3 linked regions of the Saccharomyces cerevisiae S288C genome follow. The main gene of each other region encodes a partner of the protein of the gene in region 2 in a complex. Each region holds a gene or a part of one and is shown on either strand. Other genes may lie near its edges. A codon is read from its position in the direction of its gene.

The links. The genes of interacting proteins can lie anywhere in the genome.
Region 1: the proteins of FIP1 (region 2) and PAP1 are in contact, whole or in part, in a crystal structure (PDB 3C66), measured with the Saccharomyces cerevisiae proteins. Residues at the interface, in NP_012626.1 of Saccharomyces cerevisiae: Leu81 (codon at 2,665), Glu82 (codon at 2,668), Val83 (codon at 2,671), Ile84 (codon at 2,674), Ile85 (codon at 2,677), Ser86 (codon at 2,680), Leu87 (codon at 2,683), Thr92 (codon at 2,698), Arg93 (codon at 2,701), Leu94 (codon at 2,704), Asp95 (codon at 2,707), Ala96 (codon at 2,710), Lys97 (codon at 2,713), Leu99 (codon at 2,719); in NP_012927.3 of Saccharomyces cerevisiae: Phe360 (codon at 3,142), Leu362 (codon at 3,148), Gln425 (codon at 3,337), Asp426 (codon at 3,340), Tyr428 (codon at 3,346), Phe470 (codon at 3,472), Lys478 (codon at 3,496), Val479 (codon at 3,499), Asp480 (codon at 3,502), Ile481 (codon at 3,505), His482 (codon at 3,508), Cys485 (codon at 3,517), Thr486 (codon at 3,520), Val489 (codon at 3,529), Asn490 (codon at 3,532), His502 (codon at 3,568), Asn506 (codon at 3,580), Leu507 (codon at 3,583), Ala508 (codon at 3,586), Leu509 (codon at 3,589), Arg510 (codon at 3,592), Phe511 (codon at 3,595).
Region 3: FIP1 (region 2) and YSH1 share a complex: the UniProt entries of both Saccharomyces cerevisiae proteins name them as parts of the cleavage and polyadenylation factor (CPF) complex.

The regions. Positions count from the first base shown.
Region 1 is NC_001143.9:441,168-445,438, forward strand, and holds PAP1 (polynucleotide adenylyltransferase PAP1), read left to right. Parts: upstream 1-2,064; coding exon 2,065-3,771; downstream 3,772-4,271. Other genes in the region: dynamin-like GTPase VPS1, read right to left, coding at 1-1,555; oxysterol-binding protein OSH6, read left to right, coding at 4,214-4,271. UniProt on the Saccharomyces cerevisiae protein: Polymerase component of the cleavage and polyadenylation factor (CPF) complex, which plays a key role in polyadenylation-dependent pre-mRNA 3'-end formation and cooperates with cleavage factors including the CFIA complex and NAB4/CFIB.
Region 2 is NC_001142.9:601,541-606,627, reverse strand, and holds FIP1 (cleavage polyadenylation factor subunit FIP1), read left to right. Parts: upstream 1-2,424; coding exon 2,425-3,408; downstream 3,409-5,087. Other genes in the region: transcription factor IME1, read left to right, coding at 977-2,059; BUD4 (Bud4p), read right to left, coding at 3,550-5,087. UniProt on the Saccharomyces cerevisiae protein: Polymerase-regulating component of the cleavage and polyadenylation factor (CPF) complex, which plays a key role in polyadenylation-dependent pre-mRNA 3'-end formation and cooperates with cleavage factors including the CFIA complex and NAB4/CFIB.
Region 3 is NC_001144.5:696,656-701,620, reverse strand, and holds YSH1 (cleavage polyadenylation factor subunit YSH1), read left to right. Parts: upstream 1-2,125; coding exon 2,126-4,465; downstream 4,466-4,965. Other genes in the region: YLR278C (uncharacterized protein), read left to right, coding at 1-1,622; DBP9 (ATP-dependent DNA/RNA helicase), read left to right, coding at 4,791-4,965. UniProt on the Saccharomyces cerevisiae protein: Component of the cleavage and polyadenylation factor (CPF) complex, which plays a key role in polyadenylation-dependent pre-mRNA 3'-end formation and cooperates with cleavage factors including the CFIA complex and NAB4/CFIB. Has endonuclease activity.

The DNA.
Region 1 (4,271 bases), on a different chromosome or scaffold from region 2:
TATCGACAACAAACTCATTCGTAGGAATAGTAGCATCCTTTAAGAACTGAATGAACTGATTAGAAATCGCTTCTCTTAGAGCAGGATACCTTGAGTACTTTGGTTGTGAAATAATCTGTTTTAGCATACGAACAAGTTCATCAAACACCAGAGTAACTAAACGTAGAGATGGTTCTTCAAATCTTCTAATTTGCTGTTTAACTAAAACTTCAAAAGCTTCGGTACCGACAAACAAAGATGGGGCAGAACCTGAACTATTGTACATAATGGTTCTGATATCAGAATCTTTGATCTGGTCGAATGGATCCAAAGAGTCTACACCATTTTTGAAAGTTTCATGGAATACGTAAGAAATTCTAGCACCACCAGAAAGTTCCTGACTGGAAAGCTCCTTCGCCTCACCGTCCAAGATACCGGCATATTCATTGGAAAAATCAGTAATCATGCTCAAAACAACCGAACTAGCTGAATCCATAGTTTCTGGGCCCAAGTTTATAAGTTCGTTTTGATATTTTTTCAATGTGGCTTCGATTTTCGCTTTGATTTCTGGCAGAGTTTGCCTAATGTGGTGTAATAAGATTGAGTTTAACTTTTTAGCCAAATATGGTGTACCACAGTAATGAGCTTTAGAACTGTAAGAGGGATGGTTCTCAAAAAATTTTCTTTCGTTTTCAAGGGCTTCTCTGATTGTTTTTTTGTGTTCAATATCCTTTTGACCTCTATTGATAACTGGGATATAACCATATCTCAAAGGAATGACTCTTCCAGCCAAAATATCTATGACATCTGTACCTTGATCCATCAAATCGACTTTTGTCAAGACACCAATAGTTCTCGTTCCTTCTGGATCGACCTCTCTAGCCAGCTTCAAACCATCGCTGTTGGCTAAATCGGTGTTAGCGGCATTAACAGATAATATGATAGCGTTTGGTTTCGAAATATACTTTAACAACATGTCCTTAATTTGTCTTTCAATATCAGGAGGTTGGTCACCTACGGGAACCTTCGTCAACCCAGGCAAATCCACTAACGTCAAAGTAAGAACATGCGGAGAATAAATTCTCAAGTTAATGGGCACAGAAGAAATACCTGAATTGGCACCTGTCACTTTGTCAGTTTCTTTGACGATTTCCTTTCTAATTTCGTCAAAATTATAAAACTTCTTACCAGGTAAATGCAAAAATTCACCCCATTCCTCTTTATTGTCTTCAGATTGTCCCTCGTTCTGGTGCTTTCCTGATTCATCCTTTTTCTTGTCATCATCGTTGATGTTCAAGTCAATCAATTCATTAGCAGTTTGGTTTACTTTAGCATGTTCTGACTTTTTTGGTCTCCTATTAATCAATTGTAACACTAAAGGTCTCCTGGTGACAATACCAGTACCTCTTGGCAAGAAATCCCTACCAACAATGTTCTCCAAAACGGACGACTTTCCTGACGACTGGGAACCGACAACAGTGATCTGTGGTAAATCAATAGGAGATTGAGATCCTCCTCCTAAGGGCGCCAAAGCGTCCTGAAGCTTGTTAATAGTAGAAATTAAATGCTCATCCATGATATCTGATAATATAAAATGTGCAGTTTTCGTACGGTCCTTATTTTGGTGCTATAAAAGGCCTCTCTAATTCTTTTTTAGGAGTAAATAGATGAATTATCTCGGTCTGTCTTGGAAGATATGTTGTTCTCTTGATGGCAAAGCGACGCGAATCAACGGCGCCCAAGTCTTTGGGTGACCCGGCCACTTAATAATGTTTGGGGAAGAAATCAATCCATTAGAACATTGGTTTTGGAAACTAGGCCAGTCCAAGCGCACAAGTGGTTTACCCTCGAGCATTTTTCGACTATTAGAGGATTCAAGTATCTATCGAATTCTCTGAAGCTATCATACTATCCTCTGGACGATATTAGAACGATTTTTCAAGTGAAACGTTTTAGCAAAAGTTTAAAGACACTAAACTAGCTAAATAATTTCACTGTGAGCAAGTCTTTAAACGGTCTTTTTTGAATCAAAAGAGGCCTAGAATTAGCAAAATATTTAACGCATAAACTTTTTTTAGACAAATAATGAGCTCTCAAAAGGTTTTTGGTATTACTGGACCTGTTTCCACCGTGGGCGCCACAGCAGCAGAAAATAAATTAAATGATAGTTTAATCCAAGAACTGAAAAAGGAAGGATCGTTCGAAACAGAGCAAGAAACTGCCAATAGGGTACAAGTGTTGAAAATATTGCAGGAATTGGCACAAAGATTTGTTTATGAAGTATCGAAGAAGAAAAATATGTCAGACGGGATGGCAAGGGATGCTGGTGGGAAGATTTTTACGTATGGGTCCTATAGACTAGGAGTCCATGGGCCTGGTAGTGATATCGATACTTTGGTAGTTGTTCCAAAACATGTAACTCGGGAAGATTTTTTTACGGTATTTGATTCACTACTGAGAGAGAGGAAGGAACTGGATGAAATTGCACCTGTACCTGATGCGTTTGTCCCGATTATCAAGATAAAGTTCAGTGGTATTTCTATCGATTTAATCTGTGCACGTCTAGACCAACCTCAAGTGCCTTTATCCTTGACTTTATCAGATAAAAATCTACTGCGAAATCTAGACGAGAAGGACTTGAGAGCTTTGAATGGTACCAGAGTAACAGATGAGATATTAGAACTGGTACCAAAGCCGAATGTTTTCAGAATCGCTTTAAGAGCTATTAAGCTATGGGCCCAAAGAAGGGCTGTTTATGCTAATATTTTTGGTTTTCCTGGTGGTGTGGCTTGGGCCATGCTAGTGGCTAGAATTTGTCAACTATACCCTAACGCCTGTAGCGCAGTTATATTGAACAGATTTTTCATCATTTTGTCGGAATGGAATTGGCCACAACCTGTTATCTTGAAACCAATTGAGGATGGCCCGTTACAAGTTCGTGTATGGAATCCAAAGATATATGCCCAAGACAGGTCTCATAGAATGCCCGTCATTACACCAGCTTATCCATCAATGTGTGCTACCCATAACATCACGGAATCTACTAAAAAAGTCATTTTACAGGAATTCGTAAGAGGCGTTCAAATTACGAATGATATTTTTTCCAATAAGAAGTCCTGGGCCAATTTATTCGAAAAAAACGATTTTTTCTTTCGATACAAGTTCTATTTAGAAATTACTGCATATACAAGGGGCAGTGACGAGCAGCATTTAAAATGGAGTGGTCTTGTTGAAAGTAAGGTAAGGCTTCTAGTTATGAAACTGGAGGTGTTAGCTGGAATAAAAATTGCACATCCTTTCACCAAACCCTTTGAAAGTAGTTATTGTTGTCCAACCGAGGATGACTATGAAATGATTCAAGACAAATACGGTAGTCATAAAACTGAGACAGCACTGAACGCCCTTAAACTGGTAACAGATGAAAATAAAGAGGAAGAAAGTATTAAAGATGCACCAAAGGCATATTTAAGCACCATGTACATAGGCCTTGACTTTAATATTGAAAACAAAAAGGAAAAAGTTGACATTCACATTCCCTGCACTGAATTTGTGAATTTATGTCGAAGTTTCAATGAGGATTATGGTGACCACAAAGTATTCAATCTAGCCCTCCGCTTCGTAAAGGGTTACGATTTGCCAGATGAAGTTTTCGATGAAAATGAAAAGAGACCATCAAAGAAGAGTAAAAGGAAGAATTTAGATGCTAGACATGAAACCGTGAAGAGATCTAAATCAGATGCTGCTTCAGGTGACAACATCAATGGCACAACCGCAGCTGTTGACGTAAACTAAGACATTCCTATTTATAGTTGAATAGTTTATTAATATAGGTTAATCAGTCATAAACAAATTTGTACCCTTTTTTTTGAATCAAAGTACTTTTTTTACGAAGCAGTAAAACGTTTACGAGATTCTCTCTACATATGCTCTTTCGCGTGTAGCGACATTTTACCATTAGGTGAGAATTTTGTGTTACAAGCTGGATGTCAGGATGATACCTTTGAAGGCATAGTTAAATTGGCTGGGAAAGGAACGGAACCTTTTCCTTTCCGAGTTTCGGCCAGATATTTAGGCTTTTTTTTTTCTGACGGAATAGGGGACCCAGGATTGACAAATATAACAAAACAAGCTTCAACGAGACGTTTATCTCGAGAATTACGTCTGACAGTTACATGAAGTGTGAGTTCATGCAATCTGTACCTTTATTGACACAGATATACTAAAAGAAGTTACAATGGGCTCCAAAAAACTGACCGTAGGATCTGATTCGCACCGGTTGAGCAAATCCAGTT
Region 2 (5,087 bases):
CAGGAAAAGGTAAAGATACGATAAGAAAAGCCTTTGAACTGCCCATCCTGCATCCTAACACAGATCTAACTCACTATTCGGGTAAGGAAGTGTCATGCATGTCTGCAAAGGGACTAGAAGAAAGTTACATGATTACATAAGCAAAAAATCGGAATTACAGACACACCATTTTTTATCCTGCGGCCCCATTTCCGTCTTCGAGGGAAAGGATCAAAGGCGCTTAGCCCAATCTTGATGATTCACCGGGGAAGAAAGGAATTACAGAACCCCCAGCCACGTAACACAGCCAATTAGTTTTCTATATCGGGAAACGTGATTGATTGCGCAATTTTGGCTGCATCAGAATACATCGATGAGATCTAGAGCACCCTTTGATGGTTTAAGTCCGGTTTAAAGTTAGTAGATCAATGATTTCGTAGTGCATTTTAAAGGGAGCGCTTATCCATGGGTGATTGCGTTTACAACGTTTTGTGTGTACTCATAATAGCCAATCTAAAATTAAACAACAACAACAACGCACAATTAATATGTATCAGCCCCAATACCTTTTTCTCTTACTGTAATTTACTACTAAATTGGGGTCGGACGTTTTTGATCTTGTTCCTTGCCTGTTGTTTACCTTGTATATTACTTTTCCTCTTTTATGTATTTAAGGTAAATTAATTATCTTTTGATCTTAATATTTTTCTCAAAATGCTTCCCTTGTAGTTCGGTATTTTTGCTTCTTCAGATATTTAAACTACCGTATACCATAACTGTTTCGTGAAGTAGATACAAACATCGACTATCCTATTACGATTTATTTTACATTATCATATTATAAATCGACCAGTAGTATTGTTAAAGATTAAAAGCATAATATACTACTGTCATTAGTCACCTACAGAGAAACAAATTCCTACTGGCACCCATTACTGGTGAAAAAGGAAAAAAATAATAAAAGAAAAGCTTTTCTATTCCTCTCCCCACAAACAAAATGCAAGCGGATATGCATGGAAAACTTCACGCTGCCTTAGAAGATGGTTTCTTCCTCTTTCCTTTTGAACAGCAACAACAACCTAACATTTATTATGACACAACCACCGATCAAGAAGACCGTCCTTGTTTTTCTTTTGGATCTACAATTTCCCCTAGAAGTTGGCATTTTGAAAAGTCTGACAAAATTGCCTCATCTCAGCTGCAGAACTTGGTTCATACACAACCAATTCATTTAATTAATCCTCAAATATTGTTCAATGAAGAGTTTCTGAATTTGGAAAATATTGATTCTCAGCCTATTTCCAAGGAAACGAAAACTACGAAGGACTGCACAATGGCAACTGGTCCTGAAAGAGGAAAAAAGAGCTCTGAAAGTACCAGATCCTCTTCATTATCATCTCTTTTTTCTAATGATGAATCCGCATCTACGTTCCACTCATCATTCAATAACCATGATAACTTTCAAAAGAGCAACAGAAATGGAGATGATATCGATATTAGTGACACAATAAAATATGAAACTAATACAAATGCACAAAAAGATATCAAAATATTCCAAGAAAATTTTGAATTCAATGAATTCCCATACACACAAGACTTCTACCCATATACCACTAATTATACCTATTCAAAACCCACAAATATTCATGAATCAATAAATTCAAAAAACACGGATTCATACTCCCAATATCAAGATCAGTTTCCACCACATACTGATAACATACATTCCTTTAATAATCGTCACTATAGCAACCATAAAAGCACTAATTGTAATTACTATAATAATACCAGCAATAATAACAACGCCTCCGATAATGTATATGAGGCAGATCCATTTATAGATGAACCTCAGGTGCCCTCCTACTATTACCCATTAGAAATTGCCTTCGACGTTGAAAAATCACCACCGCCATCACTACAAAAATTAAATTCAAAAGAGTTAGAATTCCTAAAAAAGTTGAACTCCAAACTGTCAAGATATGCTGCGGCTTACTCCTTCAGCAGTTCTAATGATCAAGATTATTATGACAAGGTCAGGTTTCAAGAAATATCCTACAAGTTTAGTAAAACCTATTCTTAATTCTCGAAAAGTACTACAATCTTCCCCCTTCCCTCAAAATATATCCATTCACACTCATTTCTTTATTTCCATTGTCTCACTCAAATTGCTAAGAATTTGTGTATTTGCATATATATATATTATATATAGGTATATATATGTATTCAATGTCTCAAGCTCCATGACATAATACCGTAGCGTTATTAGCCTTATCGTATGTCGCGATGGGAAAGGAGATTCGTTTTAATCTTGAAAAACCTTCGTAGCGAATAATGCGACATAAATCTTGAGAGAGTACATCACCAAATTCACTTTGTTAAACCGCACCATCGTGCTTTGCATTCTTATTCCTTTTGCCTACACTAAAATTATTAGCATTTCTCTAAATGAGCTCCAGTGAAGACGAAGACGACAAGTTCTTGTATGGTTCCGACTCCGAATTAGCACTACCTTCATCTAAACGATCAAGAGATGATGAAGCAGACGCAGGTGCGTCCAGTAATCCTGATATAGTTAAAAGGCAAAAATTCGACTCTCCCGTGGAAGAAACTCCAGCTACTGCCAGAGATGATCGTTCTGATGAAGATATCTACTCTGACTCCTCAGATGACGATAGTGATTCTGACCTAGAGGTTATCATAAGTCTGGGTCCTGACCCTACTAGGTTAGATGCAAAACTACTCGATTCTTATTCTACCGCAGCGACATCTTCAAGCAAAGACGTAATTAGCGTAGCTACAGATGTATCCAATACCATCACAAAGACATCAGATGAAAGACTAATAACAGAAGGAGAAGCAAATCAAGGTGTAACGGCAACGACCGTAAAAGCTACAGAGAGCGATGGAAATGTACCGAAAGCAATGACTGGTTCTATAGACCTGGATAAAGAGGGAATCTTTGATAGTGTTGGCATAACGACAATAGATCCTGAAGTATTAAAGGAGAAACCCTGGAGGCAACCGGGGGCCAACTTAAGTGATTATTTCAATTACGGTTTTAACGAATTTACCTGGATGGAGTATTTACATAGACAGGAAAAACTACAACAAGATTATAATCCTAGGAGGATCCTAATGGGCCTATTATCCCTCCAACAGCAAGGGAAGTTGAATTCCGCGAATGATACAGACTCAAACCTCGGTAATATAATTGATAACAACAACAACGTAAACAATGCAAATATGTCTAATCTGAACAGTAATATGGGTAATAGTATGTCTGGAACACCAAACCCTCCCGCTCCACCAATGCATCCAAGCTTCCCACCCTTACCTATGTTTGGTAGCTTTCCACCATTCCCCATGCCAGGTATGATGCCACCCATGAACCAACAGCCTAATCAAAATCAAAATCAAAATTCGAAATGAATGGGGATCTGTGAAATTGAAATAAAAATATATCGTCCATGATTCACGTATTTACTCTTATTATGTGTATTTAATTAATCTTTAAACTAAAGACCTCTCAGTCATCAGATTATATGCTGTTTTCATTCCATTAATCACCTTCTAATTAAAATCTTGCTTCAAATTATGACCGGTTGTTCGAGTCTTTTCCTCCTCAGCTAACTTTTCACAATACTTTTTCACCCAGGGTTGATGGAAAACATTCAACTCAACAACTTCCTGGAGCTTATTGTACCAATCACTTTTTTCCTCATTAGAGCATTCCGCGTTGAAAGTAATTCTTTCACCATCGTCAAATACTAGCTGGAAGCATTCATTAAAGAGTACCCAATCTGTAAAATTCCTTTGCCCTCCATTATCCGCCTGGATGTCTTCATTACGTAGGACTTTCGTGACTTTCAACAGATTAATATCGATCTTAGCCTTTCTAGAGATTTCATGATAACCAGAAAGTTGCGAGCCGTGCAGTTTGAAAAACCTGTTTTCTATCTTTCCTTTCAGATCACCACCATCCTGCAATAAATACCCTTCTTTATAGATATTTTGTTGCAACTTGTATTTGGAAACAATCTTATTGACCAATGAAAATTGTTTGGGAAATTGTTCAAAGGCAGAAGTTCTTTCTAAGAAACATGCTTCCACATCCAACGAAGCCACTTTGTGAGGCGCCTTGCGTGGTAACTCGTACAGCCTTTTTGAGCCGTGAATTTTGTCTGCGATTCTACTCCACTTGTTAATCATATTGTAATGCATATGACTGGTATTAAATGCCACGTTTTTCAAAAACTCTTCATTAATTTCAATTTCACAACGAGCAAATGAACCGTCTTGTGCAAATAGATAATCCCACTCATCTTGTTTAGGTTTTTTCTGTACATACTTCTTTTCAAATTTATACTTTGTCTTTCCAAAAAAACTCTTACCCACCGGCACCTTGTCTACTATTTCGACCAATTCATGTCGAGGTTTTTCATATTTACATTTTAATGTGATAACACATTTTTTGTAGCTATCTCTTTCAGAAGAAGCGGAGGATGTTTCGGCTTTTCCTTTAAAATCTATGGGCAATTCAAATTCCTTATTGATCCTGATGTTACCGTCATACGGAAGCGACTCCCAGGGTGTCTGAACGACATTTTCCCCATTGTCAAAAACAATAGCATATGTTGCTCTATGACTCTTAGTTCCATATAATGCAAGCGTGGAAATAGCCTTTATACTTAAATAAAGTGTTCCCATATCCGGAAATTCTTGTTCAACGTCTTGTGGTTCTTCAAGTTGAGTTATCGTTTCTTCTTTTGCTTCGACGTTATCTTTTGTCTGCGCTAGCAGTGGAGGAATATCTTGTTTCAAACCATCGGTTTCTTGCTGCGTCATTGGCTCTATTTCCTCTTCAGCCTTAATGTTTATTTCATTATTCTCTTGTTTGTTTCCAGCTTTCACGACCTTGAAAGGACTGCTAACATGCCGTTTTATTGGACTTATACTACGAACTGGAGTGGAAGGGGTCATTTTATCTTCTTCGAAATCGTCGAACATGTTCAAAGTGATGGCATCACTATTATTCATGCCCTCTGGACGAGAGTCAGTATCGCTGAAACTTGCCTCATATCCTTTAATGCTTGCAGCTAGCGCAATTG
Region 3 (4,965 bases), on a different chromosome or scaffold from region 2:
CGCCTGCTGTGGCTAGAATATTTGGTAAAGGACAAGCTGAAGAGCACGCCGGTTTTGTGGAAAATTCACAAGTGGATTTGGCTGAACAAGAGAAATTCAAGAAGAAGCAAGGTGTTTTAGAAAAGACCTCTGTACCCAAAAGTTTAGCTCACCTATTAACCAAAATGGATGACAGGTCACGTATTTCAAATTCTTCAATGTCTTATACAACATCTTCTTCGTCATCATCTTCTTCTTCGTCATCATCGTCGACATTATCGTTTCCTTCTTCCCAAGAAAAAAACCTGAAAATCAATGTAAACAATGATAACAATGGTATGACCATCAGCAGCGTCAACAGAGAACACAACAATAATCACAACAATAATAATGATAATAATAATAATAATAACAATAATAATAATAATAGTAATAATAATAATAATGTTAATAATAATGATAATGAAAGTAATAGCAGAAGCACTACCAACAACAGCTGCAATAATGGCAACAACAGCCAGTATGTTCGTAACAACAACGTAACTATGGAAAATGATGTAGAAAGGCCTATTCAAGACCAATATATCGTCAAGAAACCAACCAACCAAACAGAGTTTGATTGGCAAGTATTTCAACAGCAGGCCTTTCTACAACAGCAACTAGCTCAGCACAATTTACAAGCGTATCTATCGTCCCTGAACACCGATACTATGACCAATAGAAGTCCTTCAAAATCTTCTAGCATATCTACAGCCTCTTCGCATTCGGATCCGATTCCAATAGCGATGACGCAAAGCCCAACTCCATATCCTCAAACTTCCAATATGCTACCGCAACAGCATGTATCACGACCACTGCCGCAACAACAGCGGGAGCAGCCACAACAACATATTACTTCTCCACAAAGATTCTCAGAAAGCAATTTTACGAATCAATTAAACAATGGTATGATCAACAGTAATCCTCTACAATCTGCAATATTCTCTAACCATACAAGTGAAAATAAGCAATTAAGAGATGTCGAAGAATCAAATTTCAGTACATCACCCCTAAGAGCAGATTATGGCAATAATATTATCTCCTCGATACCAGCGTCATTTACTAGCAATTCAATTCCGGTCAGTGTCAAACAAGCTCGAAATGGCTCTTCTTCGGGCGATATACTTTTCAGCAACGGTGCTCATGACATGATCAACAATATTTCCACCTGGACCAATAACTCCGTTCTAGATGCTTTGAATAGCAAGTCCATACTACAAACAATATTTCCCCAGAGTCAAGAGCCTTCATCTCTGTCCATGGACAAACAGCAGCAACAACATCAACAACAAAATATGTGTTCTGAAAACAATGTAACCGCTAATAATTTTCAACAGACGCAGAATGACCCTTCGTATAACAGAAATTTGTTCATGATGTCCAATCAGGAAGGTGTACAATATAATCTTGACGAAACAGAGAAGAATGGACCTAAAACACAGGTGGAAGCAAACACTAGCGCAAATCTGCATTTCGACAATGTTATTCCTACAGTAACTAACGCAGACATCAGGAAAAAGCGTTCTAACTGGGATAACATGATGACATCTGGTCCGGTAGAAGACTTTTGGACGATTAATGATGACTACGGCTTTTTAACGTGATACTACATTAATATAATAGTATGTACAAACTCATTCCTTTTTTTTTTTTTTTTTTTTTTCTCTTTTTTTTTAAAAGAACAACTAAATCGCTTTTTTTAATTATGATATGGGTCATATCTTATAAGCCTAATCTAAAACACATTTTTTTCTTTCATTTATATTGTTTTTAAAATCAATAAAACTCTTTCTTTCCTGTATAAAGTCCTCTCCAAAAGACTAAGTAGCGTGTTTGCAAATAAATACGGGTAAGCAGTTATTCTGGCCGAAAATTATGAAAAACTAGCGGATCTTTAACAACTTCTACTGCTTCAGCGCAATACATATTGAGATCACATCTAATAGGTTCAAAATGTTCACGGGTATAAGCGTTTATTTCTTTTACCCTTGTTTTCAGTACTTCAAAAGTTACAGCACAAAAGAAACATTGTATTATCAATTGAATTTTGTCCATTGAGGAAATAAAAAGTAACATAATAAGTTAACATTAATAAGTATACGCATATATGGAGCGAACAAATACAACAACATTCAAATTTTTTTCATTGGGAGGAAGTAACGAAGTTGGACGATCATGTCATATATTGCAATATAAAGGTAAAACAGTGATGCTCGACGCAGGAATTCATCCGGCATATCAAGGATTAGCTTCATTACCTTTTTACGATGAATTTGATCTTTCCAAAGTCGATATCTTACTGATATCACATTTCCATTTAGACCATGCCGCTTCACTTCCGTATGTGATGCAACGGACTAACTTTCAAGGCAGAGTTTTCATGACACATCCAACCAAAGCCATTTACAGATGGCTACTGCGAGATTTTGTAAGAGTTACTAGTATAGGTTCTTCATCCTCCTCTATGGGGACTAAAGACGAAGGTCTATTCTCAGATGAGGATTTAGTTGATTCTTTCGATAAAATTGAAACGGTGGACTATCATTCTACTGTTGACGTCAATGGTATCAAATTTACGGCATTCCATGCAGGCCATGTATTGGGTGCAGCGATGTTTCAAATAGAGATTGCTGGCCTTAGGGTGTTATTCACAGGTGACTATTCGAGAGAAGTAGATCGTCACTTAAATTCTGCTGAGGTGCCTCCACTTTCATCCAACGTATTAATTGTGGAATCTACCTTTGGTACCGCTACTCACGAGCCCCGTTTAAATAGAGAAAGGAAGCTAACCCAACTAATCCATTCCACAGTGATGAGAGGAGGCCGTGTTCTACTGCCTGTTTTTGCTTTAGGGAGAGCTCAAGAAATCATGCTTATACTGGATGAGTACTGGTCTCAACATGCTGATGAACTCGGTGGTGGACAAGTCCCAATATTTTATGCATCAAATTTGGCAAAAAAATGTATGAGCGTTTTTCAAACCTATGTAAATATGATGAATGATGACATTAGAAAAAAATTTAGAGACTCTCAGACTAATCCCTTCATATTCAAAAATATATCTTATCTTAGAAACTTGGAGGATTTCCAAGATTTTGGTCCCAGTGTGATGTTGGCCTCACCAGGTATGCTGCAAAGTGGGTTATCAAGAGATTTACTTGAAAGGTGGTGCCCTGAAGATAAAAATCTAGTACTAATCACCGGTTACTCCATCGAAGGAACAATGGCGAAATTTATTATGCTTGAGCCAGATACAATACCTTCCATAAATAATCCGGAAATAACCATTCCAAGACGTTGTCAAGTTGAAGAAATCTCCTTTGCCGCACACGTTGACTTCCAGGAAAATTTAGAATTTATTGAAAAGATTAGTGCGCCAAATATCATCCTTGTTCATGGAGAAGCCAATCCCATGGGCCGTTTGAAATCTGCATTGTTATCCAATTTCGCGTCTTTAAAGGGTACAGATAATGAAGTCCATGTTTTTAATCCTAGAAACTGTGTTGAAGTAGATCTTGAATTTCAAGGTGTCAAGGTTGCAAAAGCTGTGGGAAATATTGTGAACGAAATATATAAAGAAGAAAACGTAGAGATAAAGGAAGAAATTGCGGCTAAAATTGAACCTATAAAGGAAGAAAACGAAGACAACTTGGATTCTCAAGCAGAAAAAGGTTTGGTTGATGAAGAGGAACACAAAGACATAGTCGTTTCTGGGATTCTAGTTTCAGATGACAAAAATTTCGAATTAGACTTCCTTTCTTTGTCTGATTTAAGAGAGCACCATCCCGATCTTTCTACAACGATATTAAGAGAGCGCCAGTCAGTTCGTGTAAATTGTAAAAAGGAGCTAATTTACTGGCACATTTTACAAATGTTTGGAGAGGCTGAAGTTCTTCAAGATGATGATAGAGTAACAAATCAAGAACCAAAGGTTAAAGAAGAGTCAAAAGACAATCTGACCAATACAGGTAAATTGATTCTACAGATAATGGGTGATATTAAGTTAACTATTGTTAATACTCTAGCCGTTGTGGAATGGACTCAAGATTTAATGAATGACACTGTAGCAGACTCCATTATTGCTATACTTATGAATGTGGATTCAGCTCCCGCCAGTGTCAAGCTTTCGAGTCATTCTTGTGATGATCATGATCATAACAATGTGCAGTCTAATGCACAAGGTAAGATTGATGAAGTTGAGAGGGTGAAGCAAATCTCAAGGTTGTTTAAAGAACAGTTTGGTGACTGTTTTACTTTATTTCTCAATAAAGATGAATATGCAAGTAATAAAGAGGAAACTATAACTGGAGTGGTTACCATAGGTAAAAGCACTGCTAAGATTGACTTCAACAATATGAAAATTTTAGAATGTAATTCAAATCCTTTGAAAGGTAGGGTGGAAAGCCTCTTAAATATTGGTGGTAATTTGGTCACACCGCTATGTTAAAAACAGTTACGCATACTAAGTAGACTACTTTATAGAAGTAATACCAAACCAAAATCTGGTTAGAACTGCCTTTTATTGTTTACCTTAATCACTCTTTACGTAATGAAACCTAGAGATGAAATTTTAAAAATTTTTTTTCACGAACATAAAGAATAACTCTTCTAGACCATCTCATCTCATCTCATCTCATCTCATTTCATTTCGATTCTTCTAATTTCTTTCATTGAGTAAGAGCCTTTTGTTTTGGCTGATAGTTATAGTCAATCTACAATTTATCTCACAAAAGAAATAGACTAAGCCAAAACTGCAACGAAAGATCAAAAAAATGAGCTATGAGAAAAAGTCTGTGGAAGGCGCTTATATTGACGATTCTACAACGTTCGAAGCATTTCATCTCGACTCTCGTTTATTACAAGCTATTAAGAATATAGGATTTCAGTACCCAACATTAATTCAATCACATGCTATTCCTTTGGCTTTACAACAGAAGAGAGATATTA